Callithrix jacchus: one gene and its partners. Each later gene encodes a partner of the first gene's protein in a complex. Links are inferred from orthologs where the notes say so. Each region holds a gene or a part of one and is shown on either strand. Other genes may lie near its edges.

Evidence for each region. Proteins that work in one complex are often made in the same cells at the same time.
Region 2: FNIP1 (region 1) and LAMTOR5 share a complex: the UniProt entries of both Homo sapiens proteins name them as parts of the lysosomal folliculin complex. The link is inferred for Callithrix jacchus from reciprocal best matches to the Homo sapiens genes FNIP1 and LAMTOR5.
Region 3: FNIP1 (region 1) and LAMTOR2 share a complex: the UniProt entries of both Homo sapiens proteins name them as parts of the lysosomal folliculin complex. The link is inferred for Callithrix jacchus from reciprocal best matches to the Homo sapiens genes FNIP1 and LAMTOR2.

What each region holds. Positions count from the first base shown.
Region 1 is NC_133503.1:77,027,107-77,030,618, reverse strand, and holds part of FNIP1 (folliculin-interacting protein 1), read right to left. Parts: intron 1,782-3,512; coding exon 1,666-1,781; intron 1-1,665. UniProt on the Homo sapiens protein: Binding partner of the GTPase-activating protein FLCN: involved in the cellular response to amino acid availability by regulating the non-canonical mTORC1 signaling cascade controlling the MiT/TFE factors TFEB and TFE3.
Region 2 is NC_133508.1:148,257,658-148,261,853, forward strand, and holds the start of LAMTOR5 (ragulator complex protein LAMTOR5), read right to left. Parts: upstream 2,809-4,196; 5' UTR 2,684-2,808; coding exon 2,487-2,683; intron 1,612-2,486; coding exon 1,550-1,611; intron 1-1,549. UniProt on the Homo sapiens protein: As part of the Ragulator complex it is involved in amino acid sensing and activation of mTORC1, a signaling complex promoting cell growth in response to growth factors, energy levels, and amino acids.
Region 3 is NC_133519.1:16,441,557-16,445,534, reverse strand, and holds the start of LAMTOR2 (ragulator complex protein LAMTOR2), read right to left. Parts: upstream 2,809-3,978; 5' UTR 2,748-2,808; coding exon 2,680-2,747; intron 2,375-2,679; coding exon 2,212-2,374; intron 1-2,211. Other genes in the region: UBQLN4 (ubiquilin-4), read left to right, coding at 3,625-3,978. UniProt on the Homo sapiens protein: As part of the Ragulator complex it is involved in amino acid sensing and activation of mTORC1, a signaling complex promoting cell growth in response to growth factors, energy levels, and amino acids.

The DNA.
Region 1 (3,512 bases):
GGCCAATCAACATAGACAGTAGTAATCAGATCCCTCATGGTTAGAGAAATTTGGATAAAATCAGGTGCCATTTTTTAGCTAGTACCTTGGAAAAGATCAAATTTGGTAAGAGCCAGTAGTGAGTAGAGTGCCTATTACTGTTTGTGGGAATTCATATTGAAACTTTCTGGAGAGTATTCAGTATAATCTATCAAACTATCAATACAGGCCCTTTAACCAAAAATTCTATTTCAATGAATTTATCCTACAAACGTCAAAGATTGATATTCAGTCTAGCATTGGTTTATAGTAGCAAAAAACTAAAAACAATCTAAGTTCCAAAATATAATGGAATGCTAGACAGCCATTAGGAAGAATGACATTGATTAGTATGTGCTTATATGAATAGTCAAGATATATTAAAAGTTGTACAACAACATAAGAGCATAAACCAACATAGATTTTTAAAAAATATTCATTTAAAAATTCTATAAAACAATCTGTTAACAGCATCTGAATAGGGGTTGGAAGTTGGGGGAAAGAAGACAATGACCTACTTTTCATTGTCTGCCAAAATATACTGTGCATTTTGGTTATATGTACGTTAGTTTTAAATCTTATCTTAAATATTTTTACATAAAGGCATTAAACACACACATACACACACACACACACACACACACTCACTCACTCCCCAGATATACAAGATTATATCCTGTTACTGATTTTCCAAATATTGGAAAACAATTTTCTCTGTATAACTCAAGTAAAAATCTTCATCAGGACTTGATCAAGAGTGTGGTGCTACAGAATATAAAGAGGGTCTAAAGTAACAAAGATACAGAGTCATTCAAATCCCTGTCAGTCCTACCAGTGTGTGACATGTGGCATGTTAACTGACAGAATCATCTGTTTCCAACCTGGATGACACTGCCTACACACTGTAGGATGATAATACGAATTAAGAAATAACACTAATAAATTTTTAATTTGGGTTTCTGACATACAGTAGGTTCTCAGTGATGTTGGTTTCTTTTCCCATCATAAAAGCCAAACTAGATAAAAGTTCTGGCTTGTTTTACTTTCTTTAATGGGATTTCAAGAAATGAATCACACGAACACGCCTAAAGTGGCCAAAGAACAGAGGAAAAGTGACCACAGAACATAATGAAATAGGGCCATACAATGCTCCCTACCAACTTCCCATTGCTCTTTCAGTAAGCATTTTTGTTAACTTTTCTGCCACAGAAAAATGCAGAGTAGACAGATATAATATATAGTTAATGGGAAGGAGGAGTAATATGTAGATAACATATTATCATTCACAGACTTCTGTTACATCATTTGGAAGGCAGGATACATACTTGGGAAAAAAGAGTTTTCAACATATTTAAAAAATAAAATGAGTATGTACTTATTTTTTCTGACACAAAAATTCAGATTTTAATTCATTCTGACTATATTCTCAACCTACTATATGTAATGGCACAAAGAAGGGATAATGCCTTTCAGATTTGTGGATGACAGGAAATCTGCTATTATATGGTACAGGGCAACCTAAATGATAACAGCCTCCAGCTTCTCATAGAAAAAGATACTTAAAAGAAAAAGGGCAATTCTGAGCAACATTCCTTACCTGATGACAGAGCAATGAAAGCAAAGCCAGAGAAGAAACCATTAACATACCCCAGAACCACTCCCAGCTCCTTGACATGAACACGCATCTGCCCCCTCAGGTATTCAGACAGCATTTTACTTTTGAAGTATAGCTCCTGCAACCGGTCTTCAAGATGCATTACACACTGCAGTTAGGGAGGAATCAATAATCAAGTCAGAAAACAGTTTGCAACACTGAGTCATGGCAAATTCCAAAACAAAATGTTTCAGACAATTCTCTTTATTTATTCCAACATGAACTAAAATTTGAAGCACATTTTTAAAGTATGTAGTTTTAGCTAAAAAGGGAAGTGAACCTTTTCCTGGCTCATATCAAAGATTAGCTTCTACATCGTCTTTTTCTCTTAACAGTGCCAAAATACACATGATATAAAATTTACTCTTTTAACAATTTTCTGTTTGTTTGTTTTTGTTTTTGAGATGGAGTCTCACTGTGTCACCCAGGCTGGAGTGCATTGGTGCAATCTCAGCTCACTGCAATCTCTGCCTCCCGGGTTAAAGAGATTCTCCTGCCTCAGTCTCTCAAGCAGCTGGGACTACAGGCATGCACACCGCCCAGATAATTTCTTTTGTATTTTTAGTACACACAGGGTTTCACACCACATTGGCCAGGCTGGTCTTGAACTCCTGACTTCAGGTGATCTGCCTGCCTCGACCTCCAAAGTGCTGGGATTCCAGGTGGGAGCCACTGTGTCTGGCCCCTTTTTAAAGCATTTTCAGTGGTACTAAATACATTGAAAATGTTGTGCAACCATCACCACTATCCATTTCCAAAACATTTTTCTGCTATGTTTTTATTGTAAATTTGATCAATATAAAATTTTTATGAATAAAAAATTTCAATTGTATTTACATAGGAAAGGATGTATTCTGTGGAGAATAAAAAACAGTTGGCAAAACTTCACAAAGAATGCTATGTAGTTTCCCAATTTCTAAGCTGAAAGACTGAAAGTTAAAACACATCTGGGCATGGCGGCTCACACCTATAATCCCAACACTTTGGGAGGTGGTGGCAAGAGGATCACTGAGAACAGCCTAGGCAACATAGTGAGACCCCTGTCTCTACAAAAAAAAAAAAAAAAAAAACAAAAACCAATTATCCAGGTATGGTGGCACGATCCTGTAGTCTTAGCTAGTTAGGAGGTTAAGGTGAGAGGACTGCTTGAGCCCAGGGTTTTGAGGGTGCACTGAGCCATGACTGTGCCACTGCAGTTCAGCCTGGGTGACAAAAGTCAGAAATATATGAAAACACATATATTCTGTTTTTTGTCAATTAACTTGCTCAATTTACTAAAATAGGTGATTTATCATGTGAATTGATGCTTAACATATTTGAGGAAAAAACAGAAGTTTCAGGTGCTAAACATTAGATTCTTCAGTGTTCCTTTCCAATGAAAATCAGCTATTAAGCTCCTAATAAAAATCCACTTTATTATTGGAAAAACACAACCAAATGGTTGTGGCTTTGTAGCGTATATTTTTCTCACAATACTTTAGGCTGATAATGCCATAAGAAAATGTTGAAAACGTTAATTGCTGAATATATGTATACATAAAATATGTAATATAATTATATTACTGTATTAACCACTTGACAGTATATAATTCCATAGTACTAAGAGCATTCACAATGTTGTGCAACCATCAACACCATCCATTTCCAGAACGTTTTTTCATCATCTCAAACAAAAACCCTGTATTCAGCATCTCAAATGAAAACTCTGTACTCATTAAACAATAACTCCTCATTCTCTTCTTTCCTGCAGCCTTTGGTAACCACTATTTTACTTTCAGTCTCTATGAATCTGCCTATTTGTAGTACCTCATATAAGTGAAATCATACACTATTTGTCCTT
Region 2 (4,196 bases), on another chromosome or scaffold:
AAATTAGTCAGGCATGGTGGTGGGCCCCTATAATTCCAGATACTCAGGAGGCTGAGGCAGGAGAATAGCTTGAACCTGGGAAGTGGAGGTTGCAGTGAGCCGAGACTGTGTCACTGCACTCCAGCCTGGGCAACAGAGCAAGACTCCATCTCTGTAAAAAAAAAAAAAATCACGAGTAAGAGGCCTCAGGGCCAAAAACCCTAGCTTACCCACTTATTTAACCTCCGTGTCTAAGTTTCTCTTTTTAATTTTTTTTTTTTTTGAGACAGAATCTTGCTCTTGTTGCCAGTCTGGAGTACAACAGCACGATCTTGGCTCACTGCAACCTCTGCCTCCCAGGTTCAAGCGATTCTCCTGCCTCAGTCTCCTGAGTAGCTGGGATTACTGGCACCTGCCACAACGAGCCTAATTTTTTTTTTGTATTTTTAGTAGAGATGGGTTTTCACCATGTTGGCCAGGCTAGCCTGGAACTCCTGACTTCAGGTGATCCACTTGTCCCCACCCCCACCTCCCAAAAGTGCTGGGATTACAGGTATGAGCCATGGCATCTGGCCTTTTTAAATTTAAAAAACAATAAAATAGAGATGGGGGAGGTCTCACTGTGTTGCACAGGCTGGTCTTGAACTCCTGGGCTCAAGTGATCTGCCCACCATGGCCTCCCGACCTCCCAAAGTGCTGGGATTACAGGTATGAGCCACAGCATCTGGCCTTTAAAAATTTTAAAAACATATATATAAAATAGAGATGGGGGGTGGTTTCACTGTGTTGCACAGGCTGGTCTTGAACTCCTGGGCTCAGTGATCTGCCTGCCTTGGCCTCCCAAACTGCTGGGATTACAGATGTGAGCCACTGCGCCTGGCCCCTCCACTTCTTTTTCTACCTCACAGGGTTGTTTTAAGGAATAAAAGAGTTAGTATATGTAAAGGACTTACAATGGTGCTTGGTATATAACAAAAGCTCAATAAATGTAATTCTAATGATTACCATTATTAAATAACAACCTAGTGAAGAAAATGAAGCCCTAAAAGGTAGTTTTTGGTCCACGTTCATACTGCCAGCAAATCAAAAAGTAAGGGACTGAGCCCAGGTATGTCCAACACTGAAACCCCATTTTACTGCCTATTCACTTCTTGTTTAGTGTAGTTGAGCTTAAAAATAGGACACCATCCACTCTGCGGGGTTGCTGTGAAAATTAAAGGCAGTGTATTTAGAACCTAGCAGTCTCAGCATATGGCATACATTCAATAAATGGTTAACAGCTGTCATTCTCTCAAGTCCTTTCTAGACTTCATTTAACATGATTCAAATACCATTTTTAGTAAAGACAACTACTTAGTGCTATAGAACAGCAGGGAACATCCTCCTTCATAAATACCAACTGAAACTTTCAATTTTCTGATACTGTTATTTGGAGATAATCTCTACTCTCAGAAACTCAGAAAGAACCGGCAAGGTAACAGAACATAAAAGCTAGAAAACAAAACCACGCTAGGCTCCAAGTCAACAGCAGATGCTACGGAATTCATCACACGGCATGAGAGATACTTACAACCCAGATTAAGTCCTTGTGAATCTGTGCACAGGACTCCAACAATGGAGGGATTCTTCATTCTAATTTCAGGAACACAGAGAGTTGAAGCAGATAATGGGAGAAAAAGGATTTGAGCATACACGTGCTCTATGTACCAGACATTAAGTGCTTTAAATCAATGTTTCTCAATCTTTTTTCATTATCACACTCTAAGAAAAAAATTATTCTAATTAATTAATTTAAATAAACCAGTTTTTTCTCTCATGAGAGAGAAAAAACTGCTAAGTACTGTTGAGTTTTGGAGGGCCACAAACACTGCAATATCTAGGATGTTTTCACTCTTGTTAAAAATGCATGCTTTAGTACTAACTCATTTAAAACTGTTGAAAACCTCTTAAATCGCCTCCTGGAGGGTAAATGGAAGCTGAGGGACATCGTTGGGAGGCCAGGTGTCTCTGTACCCTTTATACTTTTCCAGTTTCGAATTTTACATAAATACTGCTTGTTCGAAAAATTTAAAGGATGACTTTGATCTACGTAAGTACCAAGTAACTGACAGGATACACACAGGAGATAAATGTTTGTTTACACTGCAGGGCTTGACTGTGCACAACTGGCACAACCTTCCCCAAAGTTAACCCCTTTCCTAAACCTCCCGCAGAACAACCCTGACCGTAAAGACGATTTCAACAACGAGATAAGCAGTTTTGGCCGTAGCCTGAGCCCAGGAGACTCGCTCAAGAGGGGATGTGCGGTGCCCGGCAGAATTTTAATTCCGGGTCACCAGTCCCGCCCTGCGGCCCTCGGGTAGGGCTCAGCTCCCTCATCCCTTGTCCTGGGGGTAGCGCGACGTCCCCGAGACGCCCTGGCAGGCACTCGCAGCTCGCGCCTTTTGTCCCGCTCAAGTTCCTCCGCCGCGACTTCAGGACGGGCCGAAGAGGCGCGCACTACTCACGTGTCTTCCAAGTGCTGCTCCAAGGTCGCCTCCATCCCACCCACCGTCCACCCCGGCCCAGAACCCAGCGGCACGCCGCGTCCGACTCCACCACAGGCCTCAGTCACTTGACGCGAGCGGGGCGTGGACCGGAACGGCGCCTCCAAAGGGACAAAATTGATCACGGCGCAACGTCCGCGTTTTTTACTGGAAAACATCACTGCGCTTCCGCCGCACAGAGCCTGGCGAAGGTGACAGTCGGTGACCCGCGCGTGGCTCCCCAGCGGAATGATTTCCCTCTCAGGAGCGAGGTCTGTAGCCGAGCTTCAGTGCCTCAGTTCCTGGCCTGGCATTTTGTGTCAGTGTTTTTTAACCTCTGGACTCTGATTCAACCGACTCTGAGACCTAGGGGCCAGACGTTCTGTTTTACAGTAACCCAGGGGTCAGACAGGGCCTGATCTAGCCTGTGGGGCAGGTACGAAGGGGACCTCTGGGAGCGGGTCCATAGGCTTGTAGGGGGAAAGACTCAGAGGACTAAAGGACTAGAGGGAGCGAGGTTCAACCCCCAGCTGTGTTGGCAAAGTGTTGGGATTTTAGCGAAGACACTGGTGCTTATTATGGTGAGGGGACTCAGGTCAGTTTAGGGAAAGAGAGTGGCATCTGAGTCCTAACTTGTAAGGAAGACTAGGTAGGACTACTTAAAAATTACTTTAAAAAATTAATTATAGGCCGGGCGCTGTGGCTCACGCCTGTAATCCCAACTCTTAGGGAGGCAGAGGCGGGAGGCTAGCTTGAGCCCAGGAGTTCGAGATCTGCCTGGGCAATATAGCGAGACCCCGTTCTCCACAAAAAGGAAAAAAACAAAAAGACAAAAATAATTAATTATAAAAGTGATAAAAATAGAAAACACTTATGGTCCCACTGTCCAAAGATGACTTTTAATCCCTTTGAGAGTATCCTTTCAGATAGTGGTCTTTGCAAATGGACACTTTTAATGTTTTTTTGTTTGCCTTTTTAAAATAACTTTTTTGGGGACAGGATCTTGCTCTGTCACACAGGCCAGAGTGCACTGGCATGATTATAGCTCATTGCAACCCTGACGTCCAGAGTTCAAGCTATCCTCCCCTCTTAGCCTCTTGACTGGCTAGGGCCACAGCCTTGAGCCACCATGGCTGGCTAATTTTTACATTTTTTTGTAGAGATGGGGGTCTTGCTGTGTTATCCAGGCTGGTCTCAAACTCCTTGCCTCAAAAGATCCTCCCACTGCAGCTTCCCAAAATGTGATTACAGGCTGACTCACCATATCCATGTTTTTTTTTTCTTTTGTAAGCAAAATTGACATATATATTGGAGGTACAATTCTGTATCTGGCCTTCTTCACAGAGTTTAGAATAAATGTCTTTCCATGTCAAGTTTTCACTTACGTCCTTCGTAATAGTTGCAGAATATTCCATTTATAGCTGTATCCTAATTGTGGATTAAGGCTGGAGTGCAGTGGCGTTATCATGGCTTAGTGCAGCGATGCTGTCATGGATTAGTGCAGCCTCAACCTTCTAGGTTCAAGGACTCATCCCACCTCAGCCTCGCCTCCCAAGAATCTAGGACTACGGGCACACACCACTACACCTAGATAATTTAAAAAAAAAAATTGTGCAGATGGGGTCTCTGTGTAGCCCTGACCCTCCCGCCTTGGCCTCCCAAAGGGCTGAGATTGCAGGTGAGCCACTGTAC
Region 3 (3,978 bases), on another chromosome or scaffold:
ATATATAGATATATTTTAGATTGAGTTTCACTCTTGTTGCCCAAGCTAGAGTGCAATGGTGTGATCTTGGCTCACTGCAACTTCCACCTCCCAGGTTCAAGTGATTCTCCTGCCTCAGCCTCCTGAGTAGCTGGGATTACAGGCGCATGCCACTACACCTGGCTAATTTTTTGTATTTTTAGTAGAAATGGGGTTCCACCATGTTAGCCAGGCTGGTCTTGAATTCCTGACCTCAGGTGATCTGCCAGTGTCGGCCTCCCAGAGTGCTGGAATTACAGGTGTGGGCCACTGCACCCGGTCTAATTTTTGTATTTTTAGTAGAAATGGGGTTTCACCAGGTTGGACAGGCTGGTCTCAAACTCCTGACCTCATGATCTGCCTGCCTCGCCTTCCCAAAGTGTTGGGATTACAGGCGTGAGCCACAGTGCCTGGCCCCTTAAAATGTATTTCTTATGGCTTGGTTGTGGTCAAAACGTTTGAAAGCTATAGCACCAGCTCTAGGCATTCACTAAGCGTCATATGTTGAACTAAAATAGCATTGGTTGTGCAGGTGGCAGAAGAGAATAGCAGCTGGGTTACAATGAAGACCCTTCCTAGAGAGTTCACCCTCTGGCCGATATGGAAAAAAAAAAAAGTAAGTTCAACAAATTTTTACTAGGTATTCATTCTACGCGGGAAACCAAGCACTGCACTCTCTGCCTCTCTGACACCATCTCCTACCACCCTCCATTCATTTTCATGCAGCTCCAGCCATACCAACCAACTCTGTTGATCCTTGGGCAGGCACAATTCTGCCTCAAGGCCTTCGTGCTTGCTGTTCTGTCCAAAATATTCTTCCCCTAGATAGCCACATGGCTTGCCATGACCTTTCTTCAGATCTTTGATCAAATGTCACCTTTTCAGTGAGACTGTCTCTGACACATACACCCAACAAACTCATACTTTCACTTCCCTCCTTTCTTTACATTGCATTTTCTTTTCTTTTTTTTTTTTTTTTGATACGGAGTTTCGCTATTGTTACCCAGACTGGAGTGCAATGGCACGATCTCGGCTCACCGCAGCCTCCGCCTCCTGAGTTCAAGCAATTCTCCTACCTCAGCCTCCCAAGTAGCTGGGACTACAGGCGCGCGCTACCATGCCCAGCTAATTTTTGTATTTTTAGTAGACACAGGGTTTCACCTCTTTGACCAGGATGGTCTCGATCTCTTGACCTCGAGATCCACCTGCCTCAGCCTCCCAAAGTGCTGGGATTACAGGCGTGAGCCACTGCGCCCGGCCTTACATTGCATTTTCAATACCTAACATACTACATATTTTACTTATTTTAAATAATGTGGCCGGGCACAGTGGCTCATGCCTGTAATCCCAGCACTTTGGGAGGCTGAGGCAGGTGGATCACTTGAGCCAAGAGATCGAGACCAGCCCGGGCAACATGGCAAAACCCAATCTCTGCAAAAAATGCAAAAATTAGGGAGGTGTGGTAGTGGATGCTTGTACTTCCAGCTACTTAAGAGGCTGAGACAGGAAGATCACCTGAGCCCAGGGAGGTCGAGGCTGCAGTGAGCCATTATTGTATCACTGTTAAGATTTATTAGGGCTGGGGGTTTTGCCTTTCTGTTTGCTATTTTTTTCCCTAGTCCTGAGAACACTACAAGGACCTAAATACTTATTGACTAAACAGATACTAAGAGGTTCACAAGCTAACGGCAACTTCCCCTTTCTGGACTTCATTTTCCCTTGTTTGTAACCGTGAGGGGTTGGACTAGGGTCTGGAGACCACCATGGTTCTGTGAGTCGGCGAGGCTGGGATGACAACACTTCGTGTTTGCACATCGTTCTACTGTTTATACCCATTATTTCATCCGATCTTCACAACCATCCAGGAGGGGAGCGGGAAAAGGGAAATAGCTGCTTCCTCCTTAGACATGAGGTAAGGAAGCTGAGAGAGGTTAGGCGACTTACCCAAGGTTCCACAACTGATAAGTGGATGGCTGAAACCAGAACCCAAGTCAGACCTCTCAGGTCCAGGGCTCCTTCCTCACCACCATTTGATGAATAGGGTCCTGCCTATTACGAATGCTGCTGCAGACCAACTCTTAGTAATCTTCCGGAGACACTGTCCCTGCCCCTCCAACCATCCAGGATGGGGTCCGGGTCACCCCCTTGGGATCCCCTTGGGGGGCAGGGGAAGTCTGGCTTCCCTCTCCATACCATGCAGTCCATGAGGATGAATTTGAGATTGTCTTCATTAAACGCTTGGTTCCCATTCCGGTCGTAGGCGGCCCAGATGTTACTGGCTATGGCCGCAGTGACCCGAGCGTCAGTGTCCCCGTAACCCGAGTAGGCCAGCAGTGATCCCTCGTTATTCAGCAGCCTGGTGAGGGGCGGGGAAGGATAACGTTGTGCCCAGGACAGAGAGTAAAACGCCTGGGTTTCCAGCCCAAGTCCCACCACTAGCACAGCCAGCAAGGGTCTGGGCTTAGTGTGTCCTGGAACGCGCCCTAAGCACCCAGCACACCGGCTTCCCTTTTCGAGAGGGTATCTACTGGCCAGCACTCCCAGCCGCTGCCCGCTCTGCCGCCTCCTCCCTTCCCGGCGATCCTTCCCCACCCCTCCCTCAGGGAGCCGCGCGCAGCCCAACTACGGGGCTGGCCGCTCGGGTCCGTGGTCCGCACTCACAGGGTGCTCTGGACTCCTCCAGTGTTGGCTTGGCTTAGCACCTGGGTTAAAGCCTTGGGGCGCAACATGCCTACGGCTTCTAACCCTGGGCTTTTGCACCCAGATCCTCCGAGGTGCCTCCCGCGAGCCGCTGACTTCTGCTTCCCGTAGTCCCGTGGCCTGCTTCCAAACGCCCTGGGAGTTGTAGTTTCCTCGCCTGGTTATTGTAGTTCCGACTCAACTCCCCACCCCGCCGCGGGCGGCTCTGGGAATCGTAGTTCCTTGTGGCCTCGCGAGGCACCCTGGGAACTATAGTTCGCCTTTCCAGGCTGACCACGCGGTTGCGGGGGGCAAAAAGAGCGGGAGTGGAAGGACAGTGGCAGCACTGGAAGGACATTTAACTCCTTCGGGGAGAAAGGAGTCAACGTGTCCGCTTGGCAGTCCACGATTCAATAATTAGACTACATCCTTATATTTGTCAGGCATGCCTTTGGTTACTTTCAAAACAGTTTTCTCCGTTATGCACAATTTTGTGCGATGAGGCGAGGGGAACTGTTACTATTATCTTGAGAAAACCAAGGCTCAGAAAGGCCACGCAGCCAAAACCCAACTCCCTGGAACCATTCTTAATAGACCAGTTAGGCCGTGACCCTCGGAGCTATAGGGTCAGTCCCAGAGCTAAGATCCTAAGGACTTAACTTGGTGGGAAAACCCAACCTCCAGGTCGGGAAAGGCCCCTGGCCTGGAAAGGACTTTGGGCTTCCAAGAAAGACCAAGTTATTACAGGGAATGGAGATAAAGCGGCGACACAGAAAGTCCTTTGTCCCGGAGCGGAGTTAGACGCGGAGGGGGCGGGGAAGCTTTGGGCTGGAAGGGACCGCGGCACGGCTCTGGCGGGCAGCGTTGGGCCTCTGTCTCCCCGAGGAGTCCGTCCCCGCCCCCGCAGTGAAGGGCACGCCCCTCCCCATGCCCAGAGCGCCCCCCAGGGGCCCCAGCCTGGCGAGCCCCGGGCCTGGCTCCGGACCCGGGGCTCGGCCCTGGGCGGAACCCGCTGCAGTGGCCCCCCCGGTCCGCCCGGGGCGCTGTGGCTGCGGCTGGTCCGGAGGGGGCGGTGAAGCCTCGGGGAGGGGAGGAGAGAGGAGGGGAGGAAGGGGAGAGGTGGAGAGAGGGGAGTGTTGGAGGCGCTGGAGCCGAGCCGGGCTGGCCGGGCGGGCGGGGAGGAGGAGGAGCTGGACGGGCTGGCGGGCGGCCGGGTGGCGGCGGCGGCGGCATGGCGGAGCCGAGCGGGGCCGAGACGAGGCCCCCCATTCGGGTCACCGT